Linked DNA regions of Canis lupus familiaris. The main gene of each other region encodes a partner of the protein of the gene in region 3 in a complex. Links are inferred from orthologs where the notes say so. Each region holds a gene or a part of one and is shown on either strand. Other genes may lie near its edges. The genes, in order: FGFR1, API5 and FGF2.

Evidence for each region.
Region 1: the proteins of FGF2 (region 3) and FGFR1 are in contact, whole or in part, in a crystal structure (PDB 1CVS), measured with the Homo sapiens proteins. The link is inferred for Canis lupus familiaris from reciprocal best matches to the Homo sapiens genes FGF2 and FGFR1. Residues at the interface, in NP_001997.5 of Homo sapiens: His158, Phe159, Lys160, Lys163, Tyr166, Gly170, Phe173, Arg186, Lys188, Leu197, Gln198, Ala199, Glu200, Glu201, Arg202, Gly203, Val205, Ser206, Tyr215, Val230, Glu238, Leu240, Asn243, Asn244, Tyr245, Asn246, Leu282, Pro283, Met284; in NP_075598.2 of Homo sapiens: Glu162, Lys163, Leu165, His166, Ala167, Val168, Pro169, Ala170, Asp246, Val248, Arg250, Ser251, Pro252, Val279, Ser281, Asp282, Pro283, Gln284, Pro285, His286, Ile287, Ala314, Gly315, Val316, Thr319, Asp320, Glu324, Gly344, Asn345, Ser346.
Region 2: the proteins of FGF2 (region 3) and API5 are in contact, whole or in part, in a crystal structure (PDB 6L4O), measured with the Homo sapiens proteins. The link is inferred for Canis lupus familiaris from reciprocal best matches to the Homo sapiens genes FGF2 and API5. Residues at the interface, in NP_001997.5 of Homo sapiens: Asn169, Arg181, Arg223, Lys261, Arg262, Thr263, Gln265, Lys267, Lys271, Lys277, Ala278; in NP_001136402.1 of Homo sapiens: Asp145, Arg148, Glu184, Asp185, Val186, Thr187, Glu190, Glu219, Asp222, Gln225, Asn228, Asp231, Arg237.

Annotation. Positions count from the first base shown.
Region 1 is NC_049237.1:27,764,103-27,771,713, reverse strand, and holds the start of FGFR1 (fibroblast growth factor receptor 1), read right to left. Parts: upstream 4,089-7,611; 5' UTR 4,000-4,088; intron 3,635-3,999; exon of another isoform or gene 3,617-3,634; intron 3,616-3,616; exon of another isoform or gene 3,506-3,615; intron 2,392-3,505; exon of another isoform or gene 2,158-2,391; intron 1-2,157. UniProt on the Homo sapiens protein: Tyrosine-protein kinase that acts as a cell-surface receptor for fibroblast growth factors and plays an essential role in the regulation of embryonic development, cell proliferation, differentiation and migration.
Region 2 is NC_049239.1:26,743,004-26,750,724, reverse strand, and holds the start of API5 (apoptosis inhibitor 5), read left to right. Parts: upstream 1-2,969; 5' UTR 2,970-3,074; coding exon 3,075-3,143; intron 3,144-7,721. UniProt on the Homo sapiens protein: Antiapoptotic factor that may have a role in protein assembly. Negatively regulates ACIN1. By binding to ACIN1, it suppresses ACIN1 cleavage from CASP3 and ACIN1-mediated DNA fragmentation. Also known to efficiently suppress E2F1-induced apoptosis.
Region 3 is NC_049240.1:18,278,673-18,285,772, reverse strand, and holds part of FGF2 (fibroblast growth factor 2), read left to right. Parts: intron 1-2,900; coding exon 2,901-3,468; intron 3,469-7,100. UniProt on the Homo sapiens protein: Acts as a ligand for FGFR1, FGFR2, FGFR3 and FGFR4. Also acts as an integrin ligand which is required for FGF2 signaling. Binds to integrin ITGAV:ITGB3.

The DNA.
Region 1 (7,611 bases), on a different chromosome or scaffold from region 3:
AGGGTTTGTGCCTAACTTTCACTAATACACTTAGTTCCCAAGATGTACACGGCAGATGCTGACAGATTTGTTAAGTGAATAAGTGAATGAAAGAAAGGCCAATTGAAAAGAAACTCTTACAGATACTCTTGCAAATGAGACATCTTCTATACATTTTGATTCTTCAGACTTAAGGAAGTTAACACCAAAACATTGATTTCTTTGAAGACTTATTAATTTGTTGAAAAAAAAAAGTGTCCAAATGTCCTTGGGAATGAGCTATACCAAAAATTAATAAGTGAAACACTACCTACTCCACCATAATCCGGGAAACCTTGCATTTGAAGACAAAATGGACTGGTGGACCACCATCATATCCTTGGAGTTGTTCACTCAGGTAACAGCTATCTACTTGGTGGGGGGGAGGGGGGGGGGGAGGACCAAATATATCTTCTTTAATTGCGAGTTGGAGAGGTAGTGAGGAGAGAATGTCTGCTTCAGGTAGATGCAACCTTAGGGGGAAAAGCGAATATCCTAGCCCAAGTGTGGTACTTAATCCTCTCTGGAAAAAAAAAAAAAAAAAAAAATCCTCTCTGGAAACAGCAGAGTCTTCTCTAAAGCTCCACATCTGGACTCCCACCAGTCTCTGGTGCATTCAGACCTCTGACATAGCTCTTGGGAAGGCAAACGCAAGACAAATTTCCCAAGAGGAAATTAAACTCATCTCAAGGGATGAGGCTTTTTTCAGAACAAGACATTTGAATCAATTCTACCTCCCTTGCCTCTAGCAGCAACAGGCGCAAACTTTACCAGGAAGCTCTTCCCTAAAAGACATTTAGATGAAAGAGATTTAAAAATGGAGGCAAGAAGAGTGCGTCTGTAGAAGCTGGCTGTTAACGGCCCAAGCTCACAGGAGCAAATCTTCTATTTCAGGAGTCTATTTTTTTCAGGACAACAGCCCAAGCACAAAGCACACAACTAAAAGCAAAAACCCATGGCTTTTTCCCTGGGTCTCCATGGCTGGAGTCTGTCTACTCAATGTTCAGTGCGCTCTTCCTGCCGTCTGGAGTCCGACAAGGCTAAAGCCAGCTCACGCATAGGGATGCCTGGATGTATTCTAATTTCCCTAAAGACAGATGAACAATAACAGTATCTGCAATGCTCCTCCTCTACTTCTTCCTATGCTTTTGCTTCACTTGCTATTCTATTGGAACTTTCTAACAACCTCCGTGGCCAGAGGCCAAAGGAAAAGAAACACCCAAGGCTGCCTACTTTGGAACCAAAATAAGTGGTGCCCACTCTGGGCCAAATCCCATTTTGTGAAGATGCCCACAAAATGGGCATTTGTACAGGCATAGTCAAAAGCAGGCAGCAAAGCCACCCATGGCCAAGCAGCTCTTCCACCGGATGGCCCTCATTAAAAAGCTGACACTTAGTGATGACTAAGACTGAATGCAACAGATATTTCAAGGAGCTCGTCACTAATGCAGTACAGAACCATCCCAGCTGGAGCCAGGCCCCAGCAACCTCCCAGTCCCCAAACACCCTGTGTTCTTCCAGGGGTCAGTGGCAGCCCTGGAGCCTCTCCCCATCAACTGGGGGGAAATATGTAAACAAGTCATCAGAGAGGCAGGCCATCAGGGCAGGGCAGGCCAAAGGCAATGGGTCTCCCCTTTGGTCACTGAAAGGAAGGGAGATGACCCAGGCTTGGGGGTAATTAGCTAGACAGAGGCTCGTCCCCCGGGGGCCCTGCTACTTAGTTTTTAAAGCCTCAGAGATGGAACCGGGGACCTGGGCCAAGCAGGAAAAATGGCCACTTTCTGCTAAACAGTCTCAAGGCTAAGATTCTACGGTTTAGACGGTATTCCAAAAAAAGCTCTGGTCCGGAGGTGCAAAGGGCAGGGCACATCTGCGGAGGAAACAGTCACCTTAATTACCATGTCTAGAGAAAGTGCGATTTCATTACAGCCTCCAAAACTACCGCCCAAAGGAGGAAACCAGAGAAGTGTTTTCAATTTGAAAGAGACTGGTAAAGAGAGGGTGAGAGGGACCGGCTCTCCCCGCCCTCGCGCAACTTGGACCATAAGGTGCCTTCCTACCTCAAAGGATATAACCAAAACACAAAAACCGAAAACAAACCCACAAGAACCCCCAACGATGCAATGCCCGCTTTCAAACCTGGAGCCGTTAAGAAGCAGATTGTCCCACGTTAGCTTCCAGGGGCCGCGGCCCACTAACTCCCTTCAAACGCACAGGGAGAGCCCCCGGCGGCAAGAGCATCCGCGCCCCTCGCGCGTCCCCCGCAGCTGCGCCCCGGCTCGCTCGGGGAGGGTGGAAAGGCGAGCAGGAGGCCACCAGCGGGTGGCCAGAGACCCGACGGCGACTCCGGGCCGGGCCGGGCCAGACGCTCCGGCGGCTACAGCGACAACCCAAGGGGCGGAAAAAGCAATGCTCTGGTTCCAGAAACTTCCATCAGAGCCAGTTCTGGGTCAAATCACAACCCACGAGGCCACCTCCAGCACATGCCCCGTTCGCCAAGTGCCAACCCCCCTAGAGCCCCCCCCCTCCCCCCCCGGCCCCATCTCCTACGATGCCTTCTTCCGGCACTATCGAGAGAGCGCCGCCACCCTCAGATCCTAAATAACTTGGGACCCAGGGTAACTTTCTTTTCTCCGCAAATCCCAACGCCTCAACTTCAGTCTCAAAAAATGTTGAGGGAGGGAGGTGGTAAGGACAAGTGGAAGGATCCCAGTTTTAATGTGGGTGAGGGGGAAGGGAGGGAAATGTTAATGGGGCTGCGGTGTGGGGTGAAACGAAACCAGATGCGGCGGCTACATCTGGAAAATGGGGGGAAAAAGTGTTAGGGGAGGAAGATACCGCAGAAATTTTTTTTTTTTTTCTGGGCCCAGAAAGGAGAAGGAAGCTTCACCACCACCCCCGCCACCCCCGCCCGAGGGGGTCTGGCTGCCTTCATAGGTTATGTGCTCAACGAACTCCATCCATCCGCAATGTCAATAAATTTCTCTGCAAACGAGGGTTCCTCTGTTCCCAACCCCACACATAACGGGAGGCGGGAGCGGGGTGGGCAGAGGGTCTGAGCCAGAGAAGCAACATGCAGCGCGGCCGAGTGCACCGCACCGGCCAAACCCTCATCCCTTCCCCCACCTCCTCGAACCAGCTTGGAACCGAACGTTCCCCTCCCCCCCCGCGACCCCATAATGGGGCTTAACATCACCCGCTGGGCGCCCTCCCTTCCACAAACTTCCGACCCTTTCTGAGATCCACTCAGTAGAAGATAACCCCCTCTGGAAAAGGGAATTCCTTTCTCGCTCTCTGCAATAGCAGATTCAGCCATTTGGTGACGACACCTCCTTAAAACCTATTCCAGGAGAAGCTAACCTACCCCTCCTCTTCCTTCCCCCTTCTCGGCCCTCTCCGCCCACCCCCAAGCGCGACCCCAGACTTCCCTCGAGGTGGAGGAAGACTTAGAAAGACCCCGGGGCTTTAGCGTCCCACGCACAGCTACCTGCTGGATTGGGGGGAGTCCCCACTGGCGGACTAGAAGGAGATGGGCCGGAATGCAGCACACACACGCACACGCAGTCCCCCCACCGCTGCCCGCTCGCGCCCTCCCCACCTCGGTCCGAGGACACCGCGGGCCGCCGCCGCCCTCGCCCTCGCCCTCGCCCTCGCCCGGGCCGGGTCGCTCCCAGGACTCGCCGCCGCCGCCGCCTCGCCAGCTCCCCGGCGCGAGTTGGCGGAAAAGTTGGGCGGCAGGAGGAGCTGCGGGACGAGCGCGGGGAGGGGGCGCAGGAGGCGACGCGAGCCGGGAGGGGAGACAAAAGGGGGGCGCGGAGCGCCGGGGAGGGGGTCGGGAGGCGCAGGCAGCGGGTAACGACCGGAGGGAGGCGCCGGACTCGCCCGGGCTGCGGCGGGGAAGCACGCAGCCGGGAGGCTCCAGCGCCGGGGGCCGCTCGGACGCCAAGCCCGCCCCGGATCTGCGGGCGCCGCGGCTCTTACCTCACTCGGCGCTGCGGTTCCGCCGCTGGAGAGTCCGCCGTGGCTCGGGCGGGCGGGCGGGCGCCCGCGGCCCCGGCTCCGGCCCGCCGCCCCCGGGCTCCGCTCGGGTCCTGGCGGAGCCGCGAGAGCCCCGCGGCCGGCGCTCGAGGCTCAGCGCCTCCGGCCCGGGCGGGAACAATGGAGCCGAGGCTGGTGCCCCGGAGGCGGGGCGGGGGGAGGGCTCCCGTCCGCCGCCCGGGGTCTCCAGACCCTGCGGCCCCCTCTCCAGAACCGGGCGGCGGCGCCTCACGCTTCTCGCAGCCCGGGCTCCATCGCCCGGCGGGGGCCCCGGCCCCGCGGCGCGCCCGACTGCAGCCCTGGGACTGTGCGCCCCTCGCACCGGCGGAAAGTCCTGGGTTTCCGCGGCTTTTCCAGCTGCGGCGCGCGCTCGCGGCCGGGGAAGGCGAGGTCGCCGCAATGCGCTAAGCGGAGTCGGGTCGGGTCGGGTCGGGACGCCGCCGCCCGGCTTCGGGCACGGCCCGGGCTCCCCGGCCGCAGCGCGCCGGACCGGACTCCGGGCTCCCGCTCGCCGCCCGCCGCCCGCCGCCCGCCGCCCAGGCCGCCGCACCAGTGCCCGCAGGAGCGCTCCGAGCGCTGTGCGCCGGCGAGGCGCGAGGGCTCGCGCTCACTCCCACCCGCGCTAGTCCCACCCCCGCCTCCTCCCCCTGCTGCTGCCTGCTGGGCCTTGTAGTTCCAGCCGCGGCCCCCGACCGCGGGGAGCGGGCTCGGCGGCGCGGCGCTCGGCGGCAGCTTCCCCGCAGTCTGAGTCCGGGGCGCGCGGGCCTGGCCTCGGAGCCCCGCCCGCTGGGCGCCCGGGGTCCAGGCGGCGGACACAGGAGCGGGGGGCGGAGGGGGGAGGGGGGGGAGGGGGGGCGACGCCGTGGTCCCGAGGGTGTCCCTGCCAGCACCGGCCTTGGAGTCGCACTGACTGCGTGCCTTGGGGAAATGACTCTTCTCGCTCCGAATCTCAGTTTTCTCATCTCATCTAAAAGGGGGGATAATAGCGCTTTTCATTAGAGTTGAGGATGAAGAGAGGGCCTGCCACATAGTTAACAGTCAATAAATACAAGCTGTATTTTATCCGTGAGAAGGTCTACGCCCCCTTCGGACCCTTCCCTCCCATCTCACGGTTCCCAGCCACAGAGTTTAGGTTTTTGTGGTTTACCGGGAAGCGGAGGTTGGGGGGGGGGGGGGGGGTGCGGGCTACGAATGCTGCAGCACCATTCTGGGCCTCCAGAAGTCTTCAACCTGCAGTGAATTTTAGGAAGCAAAGAGTGAGTGGTGGGAATCGGGCATGTTATTGGTTTGGAAATTAATCAGAATCCATCCAGAGTACCTGAGGAAAAGGTTCTGTGGAACCCGAGGAAGAGTGTCTAAATGCCACTATAATCTATAATCTTGCGGCTCCCTAATCCAAATGCACATAAATTCTCTGGGGAAATTTATAAAAAATACAAATTCCTGGACCTACTCAGACCTAAGGAATCAAGATGTGCCAGAAAGGAGCCAAGAGTCTGTATTTTTTCTGAGGCTCCCAGGTTGCCAGGGTGGGGCCATTGGTAGGGTGAGAAGTATGTCACACTAGGTATGAAAGATGCCTCTATTCTGGTCCCCTACTTATGAACTGTTTGATTTTGGACAAGTCATACATGTGAAAAAAAATCAAGACTTATTTAACTATTACATTGAGACTCTCTCAGAAGTTTGTCACGATAATCAACTAAAATAAGTGGTGCAGCGGTTTAGCGCCAACTGCATGCAGCCCAGGGCGTGAAACTGGAGACTCTGGATGAGTCCCACCTCAGGCTGTCTGCATGGAGCCTGCTTCTCCCTCTGCCTCTCTCTCTCTCTCTCTGTGTGTCTCTATGAATAAATAAATAAAATCTTAAAAATAAATAATGGATGTCAGCACACTAAAGTATTACACAAATAGAAGTCACTACCTCAGTGTGCCTTGGTGGCTCAGTCAGTTAAGCACCTGACTTCTGGCTCAGGGGCTCAGGGTCAGGATCTTAGGGTCTGGGATCCAGCCCCACACTCAGGGGGGAGTCTACTTGGGATTCTCTCCCACTCCTGACTACTACCTCAGTGTGCCTTGGTGGCTCAGTCCATTAAGCATCTGACTTCTGGCTCAGAGGCTCAGGGTCAGGATCTCAGGGTCTGGGATTGAGCCCCACACTCAGGGGGGAGTCTACTTGGGATTCTCTCCCACTCCCTCTGCCCCCTCCCACTCATGCGCATTCTCTCTCTCTCAAATAAATTTAAAAAATCTTTTTAAAAAGTCAGTATGTAAGTGAAGGTAGGACGTATACTTCATTGCTACCCCACAAAACCCTCAATCTTATGGAAGCTGGAATACTGAATGAGATTAACCTCCTTCCAAATTTAAGGAAGTAGTCTAAGTTATTTCTCTATTTGACCAGCAAGTGAAAGAACAGTAACCATCACAGTGTCATTCCCATAGTAGGAGTTCAATAGCTATTTATTGGCTAGCCAGAGTAAATATTCAATATATATTTGTTGAATGGTTGAATAAATTAACAACCAAATAAAAAGCAGGAGGTCATGTATTTGCAGAATAAATGAACTTTAGCCATGGTTAAAGGGTTATTCCCCTACAAGCCTATCCTTTCATCCTTATACCTTATAGCTCCTGATTAAGATAGGTGTAAACCTCCCTTATAAGCTGCTCACCCATTGGGTCTTCCTCATTTTTTTTAGTAGGTTTCACATCCAGTGTGGAGCCCAGTAGGGGGTTTGAACTCACAACCCTGAGATTAAGACCTGAGCTGAGATTAAGAGTCTGATGCTTAACCAACCACTCCAGGCCTTCCTCATTTTAAATGCTCATTCCAGCTGTGTTAGAAGGCCAAACTCATGCTCTCCCCCCTTAGATAGGCCTTCCCTGCCACTCCCAGCCCTGACAGCCCCTGGAACTCTCTCTCTCTTTTTTTTTCCCTGGAACTCTCTTGATCTGGTCTATCCCATTGATCTGAGACTTAACTTTGTTAGTCACTTTTTTTTTTTTTTTTTTTTTTTTTTTTTACTCTTTGTCTCTAACTAGTTTCCAAACTATACCAGGGCAAGGACCCCATCTCTGTGTCAGACAAGCTCAGGATGTTACTCAGAAGATGTTCCATATGTATTTGTTGGTGGTGGACTTAATGAGAGTAGCAAACCTGGGTTACCAGAGGAAGAAATGCAATTGGAGGGAACAGAGCTGGGAAGCCAAGCCGTGGAGAATCCAGTGTTTATGTTGACATCCAACCACTATCTTTCCCACTCTATTACTGAATAGGAATATATCCCCCTTCCTCTCTGTGAGTCTTCTAAAACAGGGGATCTCAATCCAGCCCTTTTATTCTTTTGATCTGGAAGCATTTGAAGAGTATCTTGAACCCAAAGAGGAGGCTGAAGGAAGTGTCCTTGGTTTAAATAGAAAGAGAATGATCTAAAAGCCTGTCTCTCTGCTGCTGAACAAATTCCTCTGTAGATTTAGCAAGAAACCAAAATGAAAGCAAGTGGCCAACTTGATAGCTGTCTTTCCTCCAGTTCTCAAGGAAACAGCCAAAG
Region 2 (7,721 bases), on a different chromosome or scaffold from region 3:
ATAAAGGCCTATAAAAATATAAACCCTACTGGTGGCCATAGTTCTCTCTAGAGAAGAGAGATATGAAGATGAACTTTTCGTTTTAATGGGAAATATTTTGTATTATTTGAATGTATTAGGACAGTACCCTATTCTTAATACTACTTTAATTAAAGGAAAAAGTCAAAATTATGAAAAGTAGAGTCAGCTGAGACTGGAAACAGGGAAGCTTTTTTTATTGAGACCGTTCATTTGAGAGAGAGAGAGAGAGAGAGAGAGAGAGGTAGCAAGAGCAAGCATGAGCCAGGTGTGGGGGTTGGGGGGGATGGAGATGCAGCTCCTGGGAGATCCCAGGACCCCGGGATCATGACCCAAACCGAGGGCAACGCTTCACCCAGAGCCCCCCAGGCGCCCCACAAGGAAATCTTTAAAGAACTGTGACCACCACGCAACCCTGAGGCGATGGGGCCTGACCTGGGGTAGAAGGAAGGGTGACGAAGAGACAAATGTGTGACAGATTCGGGAGCAGACTTGGGACTTGTGCTTGATTGGATGTAGTGGGATGGACGGGGCTGGGGCAGGGGTGAGAGGCGGCGGGATGGGGCCGGGGCAGGGGTGAGAAGCAGGGGGACGGGGCTGGGGCAGGGGTGAGAGGCGGCGGGTGCACACTGGGGAGGGCCAGGAGACCCTGTGCTTCCCTAATGGAGAGCGCAGCCCCGGGGCGGCTGGGGTTGGGGGGGGCACCTGCGTGCATCCCTCCGGGTCGCAGTCCGTCTGGACTGGAGGTGGCACGGGGGTTCCTGCCCACGGAGCTCTATGAATCCGCTCGGTAGCCTGCCGGAGCTGGTCCTGGCTAAGCACAGCTTGGTTATTATGAGACGAGTCATTAGTACCCACCCCCCACCTCCCCACCTCCCACCCCCACCCCCCGGCCCAGCCCGGGCCTTGGCTCCCGTGAGTAGCCGGAGATGGAGCGAGCTGTAAATGGTGTAAGGCGGGGATCCCTGGGTGGCGCAGCGGTTTAGCGCCTGCCTTTGGCCCAGGGCGCGATCCTGGAGACCCGGGCATGGAGCCTGCTTCTCCCTCTGCCTATGTCTCTGCCTCTCTCTCTCTCTCTCTCTCTCTCTCTCTCTCTCTCCGTGTGTGATATCAAAAATAAATAAAAATTCTTAAAAAGAAAAAAAATGGTGTAAGGCTTCTCCAGAAGAGAGTCCGCGAGGAGTGAGAACTTCAGCGGCCCGATGCCCATGCTCACGGACAGACAGACACCGAGGACGCAGGGCGTGCTGCTCAATAAAGCTACCTGCAAAGTCAGGGAAGATTAGGTTTGAAGGAGAGGCTCCAGGGCTCAGCGATGGAGCGTCCACCTTGGGCTCAGGGTGACCCCTGGTCCCGGATCGAGTCCCTCATCCAGCTCCCCGCCAGGAGCCTGCTCTCCCTCTGCTTGTCTCTCTATGTCTATCATGAATAAATAAATAGAATTTTTAGAAAAAGACAGTCCTCAGCTCAGAAATGAAACTGCCCATGCCAACGTGTGAACCCTCAGGCCAAATTTGATTTGCAATCAGGTCTCTGCTCCAGCTGGGACCTCCTTCCTGTCCTGCCCCTCTGCCCCGCATCCCTAGCTTTGGAAGGCGTCTCTGAGCCCTCCCGGGCACTAGGGGAGCCAGGAGAGGGGACATTAGTACCCAAGAAGGGCTTGGGGGCGCCTGGGTGGCTCCGGGGTTCAGCGGCTGCCCTCTGTTCAGGTGGCGATCCTGAGGTCCTGGAGGGAGACTGAGTCAGGCTCCCTGTGCTCCTCCCCCGCCTGCACGGGGCGCGCGCGCTCTCTCTCTCTCTCCACCGGGCCCCACTCCAGACATTGATAGAAACCAGGTCTCAGGCCTGGGCCGCCGTGTGGACCTCCAGGAGGGGCTGATTCACTGTCCTCCATCACCGCCTTGTCCCTGCTGCCCTTGACCCTTGTCACGGGGCTTTGTCACTCTCAGGCAGAAGGTCCCTGGGGTGGGCCTCTGGATGGCCCTTCACCTCCCAGCCGCAGGGCCCGCCCCCTGGCTCCCGCAGCAGCTCGGGATGCAGGTCGGTCCCCAGGTCCCCACCTCCTCCCTGCGGCCCCAGGGGAGCCAGACTTGCTCAGCACGCCTTCAGCAGCAGGCTTGGCATCTCCGGCCACCGGCATTGGAGTCCTCCAAAGGGAGTTTGGAGTCCTCCAAAGGGACCCAGGCTCAGGGGACAGAGAGAGCCGGGCCCTCGGCAGCCCACGTCTCTAAGCACATCTGTCAGAAACAAAACCGAGCCAAACCTCAGCAATTCCTCCTTGTGCGCCCTTTTTATATTTATTTTATTTATTTATTTATTTATTTATTTATTTATTATATTTTATATCCATTTATTATTAGTTTGTTTATTTCTTTATATTTCATATTTCATATTTATTATTTACTTATTTTAATATTCTTTTTTTAGCAGATTTTATTTATTTATTCGTGAGAGACACAGAGGCACAGACCCAGGCAGAGGAGGGAGCACTCGAGGCGGGACTCGATCCCTGGACCCGGGGTCACGCCCTGAGCGTTGGGCCGATGCTCCGCCGCTGAGCGCCCCCGGGGCGCCCCCGCGGTGACGATCCTCGTGTGAGCCCAAGTGTTTGCTGACCACTGCGGGAGCGTGCTCTGCACACAGTGAGCTGGCTCGCCCTCTGCGGCTCCCCGCTGGAACCGTCCCAGCCGCCTTCGTGGACCACGAGCCGACTTGCATCCCGGGGTCGCCCTCCGCGCCGCCGGGAGCCCCGCCCCCCGCTCCCCGCTCCCCGCTCCCCGCTCCCAGGAGCCCGCGCGGCTGGAGCCGCCGCCGCCCTTTGCACCGCCGGGCGGCAGGGGGCGCTCGCGGCCCCGGCGGCGCGCCGTCCGCCCGTGGAGGCCGCTCCCTGCGCGCCGCGCGCTCCGCAGACGTGGGGGGCGGGGCCGGGCTGAGCGCGGTGACCGGCGGCGGCCCTGGCGGCGGCGGGAGGTGTGAGGGTGCGGGTCGCGGGCTCGGACGGCGGCGGCGGCGGCGAGCGCGACGACAGCGCGACGGGCCCGGGCTTGGCGCTCAGCATGCCGAGCGTGGAGGAGCTTTACCGCAACTACGGCATCCTGGCCGACGCCACGGAGCAAGTGGGCCAGGTGGGTCCCCGCGGCCTGCAGGGCCCGGCGCCCGCGGCCTCCGGCGGCGCCCCCAGGCCCGGCCCCCGCTCCCGCCCCCCGCCGCGCCCCCCGCTGCTCCCCGCGCAGCCCCGCCCTTGGCCAGCCAACCGGGAGCTCTCGGGCCGCGACACGGCGAAGCAACAGCGGCCCTGCGCGGGTTGGGAGAAGCGGGAGCGGGGCGCGGGCTGAGGCCTGGAGAGTTCCCCGGGCGCCCCTGGGTCGGGCCCTGGGGGGGGATGGGGGATGGGTGCTGGGGGGCCCCCCCGGGAAGGGGTGAGTGAGGAGGGTGCGGAAGATGGGTGCCCCCCCGGGAAGTGGTGAACGAGGGTGGGTGTCCCCCGGAAGGTGGTGAATAGGAAGGATGGGTGCTCCCCCAGGAAGTAATAAGAAAGATGGGTGCCCCCCTTCCCCCTGGAAAGTGATAAATAAGAAGGATGGGTGCCCCCCAGGAAGTGGTGAACGAGGATGGGTGCCCCCCGGAAGGTGGTGAATAAGAAGGATGGGTGCCTCCCTTACGCCCGGGAAGTGATAAATAAGAAGGATGGGCGCCCCCCCTCCCGAAAGTGTTGTGCAGGAGACAGACCGGTGGGGCAGGGGGGGACAGGCAGCTGTAAACAACCGCCGCAGGAGCCCCCCGCAGTGTGTCCTCAAGACACAGTTTGAGCGTGGGCTCAAACTTGGGCTCCTTTGCGAGTTTTCAGGGACCCCAGTCCACTGAACTTACGGAGTTGGGAGGGGGGCGTGTTTTGGTGGAGAAGAAGCGGCTCCCCCAGAAGCGCGGCTGATCAGTGTTGTTAGAGATCTTAGGCCGCGTCTTCTCGGTGCTTAGAACCCCGTGTGATTCCCCTGCTCCTCTGTCGGCCGAGTGGGAAGTGGCAGGTCCTGTCGTTGGCCCGGCCCTCCCGGCCCCCTTTTTCTGGACACGCGTAATTCAGGTAAATTCTTTTTGAGCCAAACACCACCACCGGAATTGGGATGTCGGGGCCTTCCTTAAGCTTCCCCCAGAGTTGCAGATTCACCAGCGTAAAGTACCAGGCTACTTTCCTCCCCTGTATATTTCCATCTGTTAGGGAAGTTTGAAGACGTCAGTGAGAAATGTACCGAGGGCGTGTTGTAGGATGTAGGACAGGTGAGTGTAGGTCAGCCCCCAGGGAGGAATTTTCGGCCCAGTAAGACAAGGTTAGAAAACCCATCATCAGTCATATTTTGATCTTGTCGTTGTTGTCCCTAGCAAGATTTAGTAGTGAAGGTATTCTCCTTCATCGTGATAGAGTTGAGGAAGATTGTGGCAAATTATTCCTGAAATTGACTTTACCGCGGATCAGCTGAGGAGATAGGTAGAAGCTAGAACAGTGATTCTCAGTTTGTGGATATGCCTCCCAAAGACGTACGTCAGGAATTTTTTAGGGAAACTAGAAGCAGTAAACATGGTCATGTCCCATACCTGCGCCCTCACTTTGTGCTGTATAGTAAAAAAAAGTTGACAGCCACCTACTTAGAGTCTTAGGGCAAACAGAATCCAAACTAGAATTTCACAGATCCGTCCTGAATACTTGAGAGTGGCTGACGTTTTCCTTTTAGTGTCATCTTTAATCTTAAATACCAGGTAAGAGTGAGAGTTCTCCCTCAAGACGTTCAAGAAACGTCTTTTTCAAGGCATAAATCTGCTTTCAATTTGGAAAGAGCGTTTAAGAGACATGTTTGTAAAAAAAAAAAAAAAAAAACGAAGAGGGTCTTTTTCATTCAGGCTTCAGTGAAGACCCACGGTTTCATTTATTCAGTACATTCTTTGAGCGCCTACCGCGTGCTAAACACTGTGCTAGTTGCTAAAATTTTAGCACGATTCCTTAGCAGGATGTTAGATCGGCACCTTCACGACACTGCAATGACAGCTGTCAGGCAACTGTTTGAGACGAAAAGACCTGTGCGTAATGAAGTGCAGGGACTTGTCAGCCTCAGACAGTGAATTCTGCGAGGACTGAAGCTGGCCAAATTGTAGTGGCTACTAATTCTGCCCTATTGTGGAATAACTTTTCCTTTTTTAGAGAAAAATCCTAAAACGCATATTGAAAAAGATAGTGGGTTTCAGGATATTGCATGTGAATTTTAACTAAAAGCAAGAGCCAACTTAATGGAAGGAACGCCCCTGATGATTTTTTAATGAGAGTTTACATTCTTAGTGTACCAAACCCTGATTTTCATTTAACTTACAAGGTTTACAGTCAAGGGTCATTTCTTGGCAGGTACCTATCTGAACATTTCGGAGACCATATTTGAATTTTTAGTCTAGAACTTCTAATGTTTATTTTTATCCTTTGTCAAAGAGCTAAGTACCAAGTTGCTCGTGCTGCTGCCATGAAGGGAGTGCCCTCTTCGCTACTGTCAATACTCCTTTGAGAATAATGCTTTTGGAATATATTAGGAAAAACACAAGTTCTCCGAGGTTTATCGGCAAATTTTCCTCAAACAGATCAGATCTTTCTCTGGATGAACCTCCTTGGCGCTGTGAATTCATTTATAATACTTGAGACTTGTATTTTATTTCCCTGAGGACTTTTCTTATCCCCTTACTAAATTATAAAGTCTTGAGGTTAAGACTTATTTTTTGTCTCTCTCCTCACACTGTGCCTTGTTTTTCAGTAGACATTTTTTTCTTTAAAGTAGAAGTACATTCAGAGAAAGAGGAAGTATAATTATATTAATAATAAAGTTAATAATTACACAACTAATGTAATGTGCTATATAATAAATCCTACATCAATGTAATTACTGTGTGTACATAATGTAAATGAAGATGAGAACTTTATACGCTCACATCATATATTTAAAGCATGAGTGTGTTTTCTAATAAGCAAACATCAAGTGATAAATTCTAACTGAAGCATAATACAGTGCCTCAAAACCTTCCAGTCTCCCTGTCGTCTTCCCTCCTGTAGCTCCTATTTTCCACCTACCGTTCAGCTCCCCTTCCCCCTACTTGGGTTCTGCTTCTGTTTCCTCAGTTTTCCTTCCTCCGCTGTGTGTTCCTTTACTCCCCAACCCCCTTCCCACTGTACTCTGCCTAGAGCACCCAAATGGCCATAATAGAGCAAGCTGTGGTCCACTATTTACATTTGTTTCTAATTTTTGTGAATTTATTTAATTTTTAAATTTAGATATATTTAGTTTTGTATTATGCAGTTAAATTTTTTTTTAAGTTAAAAAAAGAAAAGAGCCAAACCCCTGTGAAGGGACTGGGGCAGTTAGGCTGAGCTAAGCTCAGTAATGCCTGAACTCCCAAATTCTCCTTTGTTCTCTTACCTGGGAGTATACTGGCTCTTCACGGAAGACTGTAGGCTTGATGGACTTCTATAAGTTCATGAAATAGCACTCTTGGTGCCTTTTTTTGCATGGTTAGCTAAAATCACAGACCAGCCAAGTTGGTAATCTCTGAAAAATAAGTAAAAGTGTTGTTGTCAATAATGTAATAATATTGGATGGTGACAGATGGCAACTACACTTAATTGTAGCGAGCACTGAGTAATATGTAGGACTGTCCGATCACTATGTTGTACATCTGTATGTCAGCCACATTACATACAAACTAGGTTTATTGAGTTAAGAAAGTAGTAAATAAAGCTTGCGTTATCTGTTTTCTTTTTATGTGATACTTGAGAAATATGTTGAAACTACATTGTTCCTTCTCTGAAATAATTGTTTAGGGGCGCCTGGTGGTGCAGTTGGTTAAGCAGCCAGCTCTTGGTTTCGGCTCAGGTCATGGTCTTCAGGTTGTGAGATCCAGGCCCTTGCAGCACTCTGCTGGGCAGAGTCTGCTTGAGAGTCTCCCTCTCCTCCTGCTCCTCCCACTCCAGCTCACGAGCGTGCCCCCTCCCCCCTCAAATAAATAAATCTTAATAGAGAAAACAGTTGTTTATTTCTTAGAAGCTGCATCCTGGTCTCAAACATGGCTTTACCTGGCATGTCACTGATCACTTAAATATATTGGTTGTGTTTTGACAATCCCTGTCACAAATTTTTTTATTGTAGAAATCTGCTGAACGTGGATCTTACCGTAGCTTTTTACTTGAAAATATTTTAGTGATTTCTTTAGAGTTTGCTTTGTAAATTTGCTGTTAAAAACACACACAAATATGTAGTTTCAGGATGCATGAAAATATTTACAACTAAAACTTATTAGGATCACAAATCTATCTAGCTGAAATATACTGTTGTAGGAGAAAATAATAAGCAGTACCATGTGGTATTTGGGGCACTTTATTATGGTTACAGTCTGCCTGTCACTAAATCACTGTGATCACTGAAGATCTCCCCTATATTTTGTTTCCTGCTTTGAAAACTGTAAGTAATAAGTTTAGGGAGATTTTGTAAAAAGTCTTGTCACTACGCTACAGTTGAAGACAAGAACTGGCAAAGAAGAGCATTTTATTTTGCATTCTATAAAGGGTAATCAGTTGAAGTCTATTCGTAACATTTATAGAAATTATTTGATAAAACTGATGCCTACCAGTGGTAGAAACTTTGATTTCTGGTTTGAATATGTTAAAATGCTTAACTTTT
Region 3 (7,100 bases):
ATAGGAATCAGGAAGAAATAGGGACACAATTCGGTCCACGACAGTTAGCTACAGTATGTAAAGCTAAGTTGTAAAGTTGCTCAATGAAAAGTATAGAGATTCCATAGAATCAGATACCTAGATGATGCCTAATTTTCCATTGAAGATTTTTTTTTTAAGATTTATTTATTTATTTATGATAGACAGAGAGAGAGAGGGGCAGAGACACAGGCTCCATGCTGGGAGCCGGACGCGGGACTCGATCCCAGGACTCCAGGATCACGCCCTGGGCCAAAGGCAGGTGCTAAACCGCTGAGCCACCCAGGGATCCTCCCCCATTGAAGATATTTTATAATCTTTTTAATCCTTTCAAAAGTCATTCACATTTTTCCCTACAATTAAAAAAAGTATATGCTATTCTTATGCTTATTTATCTAAATGAATTTTACAATACTCTTGTATAGTTTTGAAAACTGTGCTACAATTTAAACTAGTATGGTTTTAAATTTTTAAAACATGGTGAGAGGAATCTTACATTTGTATTTTACTATGTTTCCATCCAGGAACATCTGGCTTTTTTTTTAACTCTCATTAAATCTTTGTGTTTTTCATCATTTGGATTCTGAACAATTCTTAATTTCAAAGCAATTTATCTTGGAATGGTGAGATAAATTTCTCTTTCCTTTGTAAAAGTTTTTAAATAGTTATCACTGGAACTTAGTGGTTTTTAAAAATAATGAGTTTTGTACCCGTTGTCTTACATTTATTTTTATATTCATCCTTATAGCTGGGTAAATTGAGAATGTAAGTAACTTGACCACTCATAGTTCCAGTAAGAACAAATTGATTGCATCTAAGAATAGTGTGTCTATCTCTGCATGTGTACAAGTGTGTGTTGGGAGGGGGCTGGGTAGGAACTTGAGACAACTATCTTAAGGATGTCTTCTTGGAATTAACACTATTTATCTTGGAAACCTAGATTCCCAGAACTGGATTAACCATTTCCTATGATATCTCCTCTCCTGGATTTGGAAGGACTAGGAAACAAGGGGTTATTGTACATGTAATGAAGTTCCTTGAGATCCACAGTCCATCAGCATACAAATTACTTGACTGCATGTAGCTGTTCCTCAGATTTCTGGATACTACTGTTAAAAAAATGTTTTGATTTAGATTTTATCCCTTTGCTCTTGGAATACTCTGCTTTCTCTGACAGAGTTCAAGGCTTATTCAAATCTACTTTCTTACAAAGTAAGTGGCAATCTGATGAGTGCTATAGTACCAGTAAGCATTCCCTAGGATACCTACAGAGATCATCCGGAAGGGATTATTATTATTATTTTCAGATTTATTTATTTATAATATATATATAGAGAGAGAGACAAAGACACAGGAGAAGGGAGAAGCAGGCGTGAGGCGCGACTCGATCCTGCGACTCCAGGATCGTGCCCTGGGCCAAAGGCAGGCGCTAAACCGTTGAGCCACCCAGGGATCCCTGGAAGGGATTATTTGTTTTAACAGATAAGCAGTGCAGATAAAACCGGTCCATTTTGGAGAGGTCAGAGAACATATACCAGCCCAGAGAAGAGTATGCTTGGTTTTAAAGCTCCAGTCTTCTATTTACCAACATAGAAATGCATGTAGATTTACTCTACATGCATTAAACCTCTCATGGAGACTTAGAGCAGATACTTTTGATGCGCTGATCTTTTGAAACCAAACATCTTTCTAAATAGAGGTATTCTCACATATTCCTAGAGGCTTTCTCTAATCCCATTGTACCCCCAAAACTGAATTACCCCTTGTCTGACATCTTACACCACCACCTCATTTTACTCTTCTAGGGGCATTTTGTGGTGTTCATCCTGCCCATGGATCGCACCTCTGTCCGGAGGTCCTGTGGGATCCAGCACCTCCCACTGAACTTAGGCAAATGCTTTGCATATAGTAGACACTTGAGACTAAGAAACTTTCTGGATGAATATTTGACTAATCCGTAGTACTTGTTCTATTCTACTGAAAATTACCCAAATCCAATTAACTTCAATTTTGTAGTTTGGGATTCTCAGAAAACTACCCTCCCTCCTAGGAACACCTAGCCATTTCGCCAAGGCTAGTGCCAGCTTCGGAGTAAGACAGCAGCACCCTTCCATCACAGAAGGGGTTGAGGCCTCTCCTCGTCTTTCCACGTCGTCTACTTCAAGCCAGGGTGGTAGAAGGAAAACCTTTTACTCCCAGCAATGCGGTCTGCTCCCCTCCTCTGGCCTCTTTCTTTCCTTTTGTTAGTCAAAGATTTCAGCCTCGCCTTCAAGTTTACCGGTGTGCGCCCCACGCAGGCCCCTTCTGGAGATCAGAGGTGTTCAAAACCCACACGGGGCACAGAATCACCCCCCCCCCATTTCCGATTCCTTTACTTCGGGGGGGGGGGAGTGGAAATCGTTTCTTGGCTTTGAATCGCTGACAAGGAAAAAGAAGGGGGGGGGAGAAAGTTGCCTTTAAACGTTTCAAAGTAGAGTCACGGCGGGTGGCACAGCCAAAGCTCCGCAGCGCGGAGACGGACCCCGTGCGCCCCGGCTGGCGCGACCTCGGGGGAATTTCGCGGGGTCGAGTCCCAGAGCCGCGGCGGCCTCCGCGGCCGCCCCCCCGCTCGCCCTCCGCACCTCCCCGCCCCCTGCGCTCGCCCCCCCCACCCCTCCTGTCGCGCGCTTGCGTGCTGCGGCCGCGGCTCCCGACCCAGAGGCCGGCCCCACGGAGCCCGGAGCGAGGAGGGGGCGGCGCGCAGGAAGGGAGGAGAGCGGGGGCGCGGGGGGGCGGGGGGCCTTCGGGGGTGGGGATGTAGAAGATGTGACGCCGCGGCCCGGCCGCTGCCAGACGGCCGACGCGGTGCCCGGGGCTGGCTGCTGGTGCCGGCGCTGCGCTAGGGGAGGCGGCCCTCCCGCGAGCGGCGGCCGCGGACACGCCCGGCCCCGGCCCCGGCCCCGAGCGCAGCTCCCCGAGCCCGAGCGCAGCTCCCCGGCCTCGAGACCGTGCTCAGCTCCCCGGCCCCGGGCGCAGCTCCCCGAGCCCGAGCCCGAGCCCGAGCGCAGCATCCCGGCCCGCGCGCAGCTCCCCAGGGCAGCCGGCGAGGGGAGCGGCCGGGCGGCGCGAGGCTGGGGGCCCGCGGGCGCGGCCGCGCGCTGCCGGGCGGGAGGCTGGGGGGCCGGGGCCGTGGCCGCGCCCCGGACCGGGTCGGGGGCCGGGGCCGGGGGGCGGCGGCGGCTCCTCGCGCGGCTCCGGGGGCGCGGACACCCCGGCAGAGCCCCGGGGGCGCCATGGCAGCCGGGAGCATCACCACGCTGCCCGCCCTGCCGGAGGACGGCGGCAGCGGCGCCTTCCCGCCCGGCCACTTCAAGGACCCCAAGAGGCTGTACTGCAAAAACGGGGGCTTCTTCCTGCGGATCCACCCCGACGGCCGGGTGGACGGGGTCCGGGAGAAGAGCGATCCCCACGGTGAGTGCCGGCCCGCCCTTCCCCGCGCTCCCTGCGGTCCCCCCGCCGCCCCATTCCCGCCGCTTCCTTCCCTTCCCTCCGACCGCAGCGGGACGTGTGGTTCCTTTCCGCGCGGCCCTCGCGGTTTCGGGTTCACCGCTCGCCCCCTCCTCGCCGGAGCTGCGGCGTCGGGTTAGGCGCTTCCCCAGGCTCCGGGCTGTGCCAGGTCCCCGGGTAGACCCGGGCCTCGCCGCCCCCCCCCCCCCCCGCGCGGACCACCTGTTGCCGCGGGGATGCCCAGCGGCGGGGAGGTGGGCGGGGAGGTGAGCGGGGAGGTGGGCGGGCTCGCCCTGCGCGCCCCGGGCCCGGGAGCCCAAGCAGGAGGGACCCAAGCGGAATAAATGCTCTTTATTGGAAAAATACCTTCCCAGAGTCGTGCCCTTAAACTCCGATTTGGTAGGATCCGAGCCAGCTGGCACACTGCTCTCACCCATCTCGTCCCTTTTCTCTTCAGTCCTTTGTCGTGTTTTTAGGGATCGCATTTTCGTAGGGGGGGGGGGCAGGAAAAGGGGAGGGGAGAGGGGAAGGAAAGGGGAGGGAGGGAGGGAGGGAGGGAGGGAGGAGGAGGAGGGAGGGAGGGAGTGAGGGAGGGAGGGAGGGAGGGAGGGACAGAGGAAAGGGAGGGAGGGGGAGGGAAAAGGAAAAGGAGAGTGGGGGGGAAAGGAAGGACGGAGTGAGGCCGGAGGAAGGACGGCGATGACGGACAGAACGGAACGGAAGTGGAGGGATGGGGTCGTGGGAATGAATGGACGTCTGACAGTGTCAGTGCCTTTCACTTCTTTCCTTCCCTTCCTTTTCCTTCCCTTACCTTTTCCCTTCCCTTCCCTTCCCTTCCCTTCCCTTCCCTTCCAAGGAAAAGCTTAAAGCAACATTTAATATTCTTTACAAGATGGAATTTGTGACAAGTTCAAAAGGAAAACTTGCTTTAATGCTTTAATGCTCAGATATCTATGTGATTTCCTCAGAAACCATCGTGGGCTTAGCCAATCTGGAAAGTGCTGTTCAAAGCAGTGTCACACTGGCCGCCTGAATGTATCCTTGGAGATACTGGAGCGCTTCTGCATTGAGGCTGGTGCTCACCATTGATGGAACCCTTCCTGGACAGCCTCTCCTCTCTCCCCCCCCCCTCCCCCTTTTTCCCAATTACCGAAAGCTTTCAGGGCAAAAGATAAGACTTTGAAAAAAAAAAAAAAGATATAGACTTTGTTAATAAAGTGTGACACACTTTTCTTTTAATAGTGACAAGAACTGCAAAAACTTTAATCTTCCACCTGCAGTTATTAGTTTCGGGACCTTGAGCCAGGTTCTTCATTCTTAAAGTGGGGATAATGTCTACCTTGCATCAGGTTTGAGGATCAGATGAGAATTTCTCCCAAGTGCGCAGAGGACTCGGTTTACTACTGTACACTTTTGTGTTCAGTAAAAAACAATCCATTTGTGGTATAGAAGTAACACTAGCCTACAGTCATTGGTTCTCAAACTTGAGGGGTACGTTAGAATCACTTGGGGGGTGGGGGTTATAGCCATTGCCCAACCTTGTCTCCCAGAGTTTCTGATTCCTGAAGGCTGGAGTGAAGCCTGATGATTTGCATTTCTAATAGTTCCCAGGTGATGCTGACCTGGGACAACACTTTGAGACCCAGTGATGTATAGAAAAGAGGAGGAAAGGGGCATGAAATGGACTGATTAACAGCACTGATGGAATTTGAAATGAGGGAAAGAGGATCAGTATATTTTAACTGTCATCCTGTGAGAGAGCGTAAAACATCCGTTTTAAAAGCTGTGTGTCTGGCCTTCCTTAGTGGTTTTTCAGGTGAAGAATCCAATCCTCTGTTTGCCTGACAAAAGACCAGCAGGAGTCCAGAGCTCCACTCCACAGCAGTTACCTCTTTATCAAAAGTTGCTCATGGAATGTCTGTCATTCACACCTGCGGAGCCATAGGTAGAGGCCACCTGAGTTGACCTGAGCTCAAGCAACCTGAGTTGACAAACGAATGGGAAATGTGCTTTTATATTGCTGGAGTATTTATTGATTCCAAAATAGCAACAAGCAAATGATACAGGTCTTTAATTTTTTTTCAGGCATGCCATAATTTTTGGATTTTATTAAGCACCCACATTATCCAGTAAAACTGAAAAGATGCTTGTAACCCAATAAATATGTGTTAGTACTGTTTCTCTATTTTAGTAACTTGAATAGGTTTCACAAACCTAAGTTTTAAACTTGGTGTTTGAAGTTTATTTTGCAGTTGGCTGCTAGGTTAGCACAGCAGATTAGGGCCAGGTGCCTATATGTCCCAAATAGTATTGTTCTTTTCTAGTAGCACAAATGGTCTGTAATTAAAAATAAATAGAGATGCCTGGGTGGCTCAGCGCTTGAGCGACTGTCTTCAGCCCAGGGTGGGATCCTGGGGTTCTGGGATCAAGTCCCAGTGCTCCCTGCATGGAGTCTGCTTCTCTCTCTGCCTGTGTCTCTGCCTCTTTCTCTCTGTGTGTCTCATGAGTAAATAAATAAAATCTTTTAAAAAAAGGAATAATAAAAATAAAAAAGGTATGTTCTATGATTAGAAGACAGAAGAACTCTCCTCCAGATTAGGTTCATGTTGAGACTTCCCCTAGTACTTTCTTTTTTTAGAGACACTTCTTAATTGCTGCATCATTTTTTTTCTTTGAAGCTTTTGATACTCTTTCCTTTAGAGTAAAACTGTACAGGGGCTAGTGTGGGAAGATAATTCTGAATTGCCATAGCACACTACTGCCCTTGTAATAACAGCTGTTGACTTTTTCTTCCTAACTATGAGTTTTTCATAATCTTATTTTAATTCACTGGTTCTCAGAGGGGTGATTTTGCCCCTGCCCTACCACCCCCAACGTTTGGCAATGCCTAGAGACATTTTTGGTTCACATTTGGAAGGGTGCTACTAGTACCTAATAGGTAGAGGCCAGGGATGCTGTTAACCATCCTACAATGCACAGGATACATCCATTATCCCCAGCTAAAAAATTTCTGACCCCCAATGTTAATAGTGCTAAGGTTGAGAATCCTGCCTACTTGATAACTAGCTAAAGACAGCATGTTAAAAGTGAAGAGTAGAATACTTCTCCAGATTTGTGGAAGGTATTGAATTTTTTTTTTTAAATCACCTTTTACCAGGTAATAGACTGACGAGAATAAAAACCTAAATGATGAATTTAGACCACTTCTGTGTAGCCCAACCTGGACATAAGTTTAAATACACTATATTTTCTGACATGTCAAAGATGTACTGATAGTTGACCAAACCAGAGCTAGACTTTCTTTGGATACAAGAAAAAAACATGATTATGGATGTGCTATAACCATATCTTCCCAACCACATCTCCATTACCCAAACAAACAAGACTGACCAGAAAACACCGAGAAAGAAAAGCAAGAGCTCATGGTTGCCACAGTTTCCCACTGAAGTATGGCTCAGATAGCCAGACTTATTTGAAAAGTTGAAAATTGCTGATCTTGTTCCTCAAACTGTTTTGTCCAGTTGACCTGAAAATCTTTGAGAGATTTATTAACATTTTCTGTCCAGACGTCTTGTAAAATGCAAATACCTTTGAAA